Caenorhabditis elegans: one gene and its partner. The protein of the gene in region 2 purifies or fractionates together with the protein of the main gene of each other region. This does not show direct contact. Each region holds a gene or a part of one and is shown on either strand. Other genes may lie near its edges.

Region 1 (3,858 bases), on a different chromosome or scaffold from region 2:
GGACCAGAACTCTGCCAGTTTTTGCTAGTTTACCAGTACAAGATAGATCAGTTATTCTTAAACGATTTGCTGTTCATTGTTTGATTCTGGAGCATGGCTATTACACAGCACAGGCAAATATTGATGACGTATGGCTCATCACAAATGGAACTTGTATGCCGAGAAATGTCGAGAAGTTAGAGGAAGGATGTAAAGTTAGTGACTAATGCAATTATTATTCTGAAAATTAAATACCTTTAACAAGGATCTCCCCCAGTTTATAAGTTGCCTTTCTTTCAGATTTCCGTCTCCGCTGATCGTCGATGGCGTCAAGAGAAGCTGTACAAACAAATGACTGATTGTTGCATCGATGAAGTGGCCACTCCACTGAGAAATCTCAAATTGAGCCCACAGGAGATTGTTGTCATCAAGATTATTGTGCTCTTCAATTGTGGATGCTCTTCTGGTGAGATTTCCAAGACATTTTCTAGAAAGTTGAAAATAATTCTTCCAGATTACTCTGAAATCACCGAAGCTTCTCGTCGCATTGTGCTAACTTTCCGTAATAAAGTTGTGTCAGCATTATTCGCTTATTATGAAAGTGTTGGACTGCAAAACTATGCAGAAAGGTTCGGGAATTTAGTTCTGATGCTGTCCGGAGTTTCATCGGCGGCATCATCAATGTTGGAGGCTTATCAAGTGAGTTTTCGATGAATTTAGAAAATATTATGTTTCAGTAAAAACATGTATAGAAAGTTAGCCTTGAAACAATGAGAAATGTACCAATTTTCCGGAAAAAAAGTGCCCGCCTTCTTTAAAGCGAGGCGCGGATTTTTCAAATTTTCATCAAATTCAAAAAAAAAAGATATCAATTGAAATATGTAGATATATTTCTTGAAAATTAAAGAATAATGTAATATAAATTTCCAGGTGATGCGTCTATTCAAAATCACACCATTCGATCCACTTTCCCAGGAACTTCTGTTCAATATCTGAAAATGTCTAAAAATTAGACTTCTCATAGCTTTTGTTTTGTTAAATTTTCCTCTTTCTATCTCCCAAATATCCCAGTGTAAATATCAAACTTGCTCAAAAATGATTCTTGCTCCGTGATCACACAACTCAAATACCTCGATTTCCAAAAGAATTTTTTAATTGTACATTTCCTCTCCCTCAACCAACCACACCTACGTATCACTTGTCACTCTTTCTTTACGGGTAGCGAATGTTATATTGATTGTTAATTAAATAACTAATTAAATTGAGAGAAAAAATGAAAGAATTTTATCTATTTCGAACTGTCAAATAACTACTAAAGGATACAAAAAAAACAATAAAAAGATAACAAGGAAGAAAAAACATTTAAATCTTCGCTCTCGGGCGGGTTCCAGCTTTTCCGAGTTCTGGTTGTCCAGTCAATCGATTGAAATTCATAATCACATCCATTGCAGTCATATTTTCAGTTGAAAAGTGCAATTTTTGACCGTCGTCTAAATTTTAAATATATATTTAATTGACCATTACTACCATAACTTACCAAGAGTCGCAACAAAAAATGGTGCTCGTCGATCATTCCGGATATCAGTTTTGACACGAACGTTTGGGTTGGTTAGGCGCACTTTTGGAGCCATTATCGAGTGCCAAAAGGTGCGAATTGATAGATTGTCGTGATGAAGTGGATCCAATGAGATATCGATTGATTTTACCTAAATAAAATTGTCACTTTTTTTACAATAAAAATGCAACTGTATACCTTTTGCAAATTGAGCGCTCTTGTAGCAAGTGCCAGCCTCTCCGCAGGATTCCATCGTACTCCATATCTGATTTTTGACCAAAGTTGACTCATTTTCTGAAACTCGTGTTATTAAAATCGTACATTAAAAAAATATATGAAAGGTAAAACTTGGCTGATAGACCATTATTTGATAATTGAAAACTAATTGTGCAAAAAATATATGTATTTGGATAGGGGAAAAAAATGAAATATGATGGAAATTCAAAAAAAAACAGGACGACAACAACAACAAAAACAAAAAAATGTAAGATTAAAGAGTGAAAACAATGAATTTCAAAATCCGAAATCACTGCTCCATGGTGTGCTCATTTTTGAACTCTCCGGCAAGTTCGCAGATTCTTTCCAAGTTTTCCTCCATTTGTTCAGTTGTTTCTGATTGAAGTTCATGGACGATGTCTTCACTGAAATAATTTTTGTTGAATTTCTGTAAATAAGAAAACACCAACCTATACGACTCTCTGGCTTCTTCCAAGAGAGTTCCAAAAATCTCGCATTCTACATTTTCTTTAATCTTGAATTCAGAATATCCACGAGATTGTAGACGATCATACAGTTTTTCTGTGGGGCATCGAAGAACTACGACCACGTCGAACCATCTGAAATCACGAACAATTAAACTCCTGTAGAACCCTCGAAACTCGCCTTTCTGGAAAAAGGTCACATCCGTGATAATCGACAACGATACCACCTTCATCACTGTCCAAACGATCTGAAATGTGATCCAAAAGCTTATCCTCGTCGAGAACGTGGCAGTTGTATTGCTCATCGAAATCTCCTTGCAAATTGTTTTCTCGAACTTCTTTGCTGACCTGGAAGAATTATAGGATCTTTAACTACTTAAAATTTCAAAATTTCACCTCAATAAATACAAATCCAAGCTTCTCAGCAACTTGTTGTCCGAGCGTTGATTTTCCAGTTCCGGGTGATCCAGTCACCAGGATATTCGGTCGTCGACGAGTTTCCGGTGTTGCCATGCTGATAAACTCATTCATTTTTTATCTGGAAAACAGGAGAGTGGTGAAATATGATAAGCTGTGAGTAAAACAGCAAGAACTGGAGGAAAACAATTTTAAGATTAAATTAATATTTTAATAAATTTACAGCGTGCTACAGAGACCCGAAAAAAAAAACAAAATTAAAGATTTTATTTATCTTCCGTATTGAACCTGCTTCAAGTCAGCTCGCTTTGACATGTCCATCGTCAAGTTTTGAATTTCCACAAGAGTTTCGTTGATCTGAAAACATGTAAGTGAAAACAATTGAAATATGCGACTGAGCCCGTCGGAAAGGGGTTGACCGGGGCGGAGCCACATATCTATGGTTGTCATGGATGCCTTTGATAAGCGTACAGAAAAGTAAAATATGAATGATCATTTGTTCTTGTAGGGAGCAAAGAGCAACTATCTTGAATTTGAATTTTTTTCAAAATTTAGTAACATCATTTATATTTTTAAAATTCAAAACTTCAAAGGCTTCAGCTAGACACCGCCATACATCAATCACATTCGATTTTTGAAAATATGGTTTCCTCCCAAAGAACACTTAATAAAAATACATTTTTGAAAAATTTTACTAACCATTCTGGAGACCACTCGCAATTGTCGTAAACAAATGAGACGAAGAAGACGAGCCGAAAAATGTACGGCTCCATTCTTTGGAGCTTGCATTCCAATTGGAAACGCGTTGATATTTAGAGTTTTCTGAAAGAAATTTTATTTTTAAAAAACCATTCGAAAAAAATCTCGGTTACCTTATTTTTCAATACTTCTTCAGTCTCTTCAGCAATCACATCATCTCCCAAATTTTCAGCAATATACAAACAAGCAGCTTTCATTAGAACTTTTGGATCGGGGTGATGAGCAGAAATGCCGAGAATTGAGCACAGAGCACGTGCATTTTCAGCAAAATTTGGTGAAGAATCTAAGAATGAGAATAATTAAATTTTATTTTTTAAAAAGGAATTTATGACTCACAATCAAGTCGGTTAAGTGGATTTTGGGAATCTCGATGTGCTTCGAGCACTTTTTCAGCTTGTTCTCTGAGCCGACTCGAGCAGAGTTCAGTGTCACCGCCTGGAAATACAG
Region 2 (4,103 bases):
GAATGACGAGAAACAGAAGTTTGACATGAAAATGTCTGAAATTGAGAACACCTTCAAAGAGAAGCTTTCTGTTAGCTTGAAAAAGCAAGAAGACACCATTCGAAGACAGAGCTTGGCCGAGAATCAAGGAAAGCTAGAAGTCATGGAAAATAAGAATCGCGTGCTCTCTGAGACAATAGAATCTCTTCAATCGCAGCATTCACAGGACACGGAGGTCATCAACGCAGGTCTGCGAACAAGAGGAGATCGGGTAAATCAATGGTCGTATGAATAAAAGCTAATTCGATGTTTTCAGGTGGGTTACGTGGATAAACTTCGCGTCGAGAAGAAAGCTCTCGAAGAAACCATTTCTCAACTTCGCTCAGAGAATGATAAACTGAAGAAGATCATGAGAGGAGAATCGGCCAATAAGCCAGTGCTTCGCAGTCAGACCACAAAGCCATAGGACAAATCGTCTTAATTTATTTCTGTAAATATTAGCCCCCCCCCCCCCGCTTTCTTCCATATCGAATACTCACTTTATTTTTACCATTGTCAAAGATATTTTTTCTCCCCTCATATTATTTCAAGTTCTATTCCCCCTATTATCATTTTGACACTTATTTTAGTTAACTTGGAGTAAATTTTTAACTGCTCTAGTAAACAAAAACTACAACACTGCTTCTATTCAATTCTCAATATGGACTTACGGTTCACTTGTATTGGTTGGAGTAGAATTTTAGACATCTTTTTATCTTTTAAGCATAGTCTTCGATGATCACGGAATTTTAACAACGAATGGTTGATATTTATACAAAAGGCTTATTCCAGGGGTGCGCGGCAATTTCCGAAACCATGTTTTGATAACTCGATGCTCAATGAAATGGCGTTGGCTCACGAGCAGATTGGATTTGATGTTCATTAATTATGGAAATTAGATAGTTTTCAGATTAATAATTGATCTCTAAATAATATTTCCAAAAACTTTTCTTAAATGTGCTGTGTTTTGATTTCAAAAACTCAACGCATGTTTCCTCCCCGAGGACGAAACAGCAGAGTTCGTGAAACTGATCGCAGCTGGAGCTTCCAGAGCCCTGAATATTCTACTGAATTTTGTTAATTTTACCTCCGTTTTCCACCTTGCTGAAAATCTGAAAATATTATTTCGGTTCTTCTTCGTTTTTATTAATTTACAATTCCAAATACTCGAATAAAGCTACACTGTTGAATTGAAGTTATTATTTTATCTCGAATTTTCGAATCGAACCAACAAAAAACAACAATAATAGTGAAATCTACACTAAAAGGAGCAGGAATTCAAACAATAATCATCACATGGCGGCTCCGTTGGCTTGAGCGTTGAGAAGTTGATGCTCCTGGAATCGTTGAGAAACTCGTTGTGTCATCTGCAAAAAGGGAATATGACAATTTTCACCATCTGTCAAATATCTTTAATTTTTTTAGTTTTTTGGAAATTTGCAATTGTGAACAACTTTTGAGAAACCTTTTTTTACAATTTTTTTAATGCGCAATGAAAAAATTAATAGAATACTAGTTGAAAACGCTGCAGTCTTTATACTTTTTCAAGCTAAAAATATTCAGAAATTACCTTGAGAAACTTGTCAAGACAATTGTTGGCGCACGATTCTTCTTTTCCACTGACTGTTCGGCTTCCAAACTCGTTAACACACGAGTTGAAACACTGCTCAGCAACCAAATTGTATTGAGTGAGGAAGTCACGGAACGTCTGGATGTTCTGTTCGCTGGTCATCTTAAAATTGATTATTAATGCGAAAAAATAAATATAGAAACAAGTTATATCAAAATGCACAGAAAAAAATTAAAGTTGTGGAAATTCTAGATATTTTACCGGAAGAATTAAAAAAATGACGTAAAAGTGATGTTCTAGTTTGATTATTATGTCAAACGTTAAAGAATTTTACAAAGAAAACATTGTTTTTAATTAAAAATAAATTATATCGAACAAAGTTGGTTTAACGCTCTGAAAACGAAAAATTTAATCTTAAAAATCTCAATTAAACAAAAAGAAAATAACATTTTTTGTGCGCCAATGTCCTTTGCTGGCGCATTCCTTGATCGTTATCTGCGTCTCTTCAACTTCACACACATTTCGTGCTCTCAGGATTTTTAACAGGGAACATATTAAATAGCAATTCATGAAAATAAATCCAATTTCAAATCATATCACCCAGATGTAAAACGTTGTGATCTTTTCTTAAAACACAGCGTCCGGTCTCGACACGACAGATTTTTTAATGTGGGAAAATGTGTGTGCCATTAAGGGGTACTGTAGTTACCAACTTTTGGGTTTTGTGTAATTTATTTTGATTTCCCTGAAATTTATTGAAAGACTCATACATATATTTAAAACACGTGATTAAATAACAAAAAAATTTATTAATCGAAAAATCTAAGAAAATTCGGCTAAAATGAGGAGTGAGGAACTACTGTACCCCTTAAAGGCACGCACCCCTTTCACAGTTGAAAAGATCGATCGTGTCGAGACCGGGTACCGTATTTTCCGGCTATAATCTAAAACCATATCACATCTGAGTGTTATTTAAAAATCTTTATTTTCTAAGAGCCGCAAGAAATTTTTCAACTTACTTATTCCCGATTTCAGAATTAGTATAGTCTGAGCTCTCTTGGGAGCTCAATCCCTGCAGAATTGCTACCTTTGTCAGCATAATACATGCTTATTAGTCTTAATCTGATCAGTCTAGCACGAGAGGAAATATATGAATGTTGTCATGGAAATATGACATGAATAAAATATCATTCTGTACTCGAGCTCAATATAAGACTCAGTGATATTTTTTAAATGGTTTTCAGGTGACTTTCTGAAAAATCGTCATAAATCAGAAAGAGTTATCAATATGCGAAAGTTCTTATCTATGAGACATAATTCGTATCAACTACATAAAGTGCAAACCAAGATTACTGGCAATTCTAGACAGATTTATATATCCTTTTCCACATAATCATCCCATCTTTGCATTTGCTCTTTTGATTTCAATTCACACATCACAACATACAAGCAGCAGGTCTCAAATGAATTTCTGTCGACAAATATTAAAACGAGAAAGTCCAGTGGGGTGCTGAGCATGTTTCGTTGCTCACTCATTTCTTTGTTTCTCTATGTATCATCAACTCTTTTCGTCTGCACCTTTGAAAATCATGAATGCCAATAATGAAGATTCTACTTTTATTATTTTTTTTTCTTGTCAGGTTTTATTTTGTTTCTGAAGAATTGAAAACTTTTATAAGTAATTTTATACGCCAGTGGGGGGGGGGGGGGGGGGAATTTAAAATTACTCATATGCACCATGGTGCTAAAATTATAAAATATCAATTAAAAACGATTTTTAAACGTTGTTGGAAACATCGAATGACCGAAAAAATTCAGTTGCTAAGTTTTCACCTAATATGAAATACTTCAAAAAACGTTATTCTATGAGTTTTATATTTTAAATTTTTGTATTTAAAGTTTGTACATATTGTATTGCAGTTCAATTTTTTTCAAAAACTTGACAATTTACCAAAACGTTGACTGAGAGAATTTTGAAGATTCTTTTTTGATTTTTAATTTAGTTATTCTGTGTTATTAGCCCATTTTGACATTAGTGTTACTTCACCTTCATTTATAAACAAATTTACTTCACTAGTTTTTTGGAAATTAAAATTTGCTCAACTTGAACACTTCACAATAACCATTAAAAAATAGTTCAGTTCACCAAGAAGATAAGTTTTTTTTGAAAACATTGCGATAATTCCTTCCCAATAGTATTAAAACAGTGAAAACTAGAAGCCTAGAATTAAAATTTCTCTAAAATTTCTCTTAATAGCTCCTGAACTCGAACTTCATATTAAATACACAAAGTTTGGCTACATTGTAGTGTTTAATCTAGACGGGTGCCGCGTATCAACCCTTCATAACTGTGTCAATTATGAATTCTCTAGTTGTTTTGATGATCAAAGAAATTTCACGTTGAAAATGTTTCTTTGTTTCTCTAAATATCTATTACAGACTTACAGTTTTCTCACAATTGATAAAAAAACGCTTTGTTTGCAAGAAAGACAATTTTTGATTTTAGTTGATTCTT

Evidence for each region.
Region 1: the proteins of tin-9.1 (region 2) and mrpl-53 fractionate together in Caenorhabditis elegans (co-fractionation; one large-scale study listed by BioGRID). This does not show direct contact.

What each region holds. Positions count from the first base shown.
Region 1 is NC_003280.10:9,595,592-9,599,449, reverse strand, and holds mrpl-53 (Mitochondrial Ribosomal Protein, Large), read right to left. Parts: upstream 1,829-3,858; 5' UTR 1,826-1,828; coding exon 1,733-1,825; intron 1,686-1,732; coding exon 1,517-1,685; intron 1,470-1,516; coding exon 1,342-1,469; 3' UTR 1,249-1,341; downstream 1-1,248. Other genes in the region: Nuclear hormone receptor family member nhr-19, read left to right, coding at 1-194, 280-445, 494-678, 910-975; E02H1.6 (Adenylate kinase isoenzyme 6 homolog), read right to left, coding at 2,061-2,175, 2,221-2,370, 2,417-2,583, 2,632-2,748; E02H1.5 (uncharacterized protein), read right to left, coding at 2,923-3,009, 3,352-3,474, 3,525-3,694, 3,748-3,846.
Region 2 is NC_003282.8:7,042,853-7,046,955, forward strand, and holds tin-9.1 (Mitochondrial import inner membrane translocase subunit Tim9), read right to left. Parts: upstream 1,751-4,103; coding exon 1,589-1,750; intron 1,386-1,588; coding exon 1,311-1,385; 3' UTR 1,206-1,310; downstream 1-1,205. Other genes in the region: klp-18 (Kinesin motor domain-containing protein), read left to right, coding at 1-250, 296-445. UniProt on the Caenorhabditis elegans protein: Mitochondrial intermembrane chaperone that participates in the import and insertion of multi-pass transmembrane proteins into the mitochondrial inner membrane.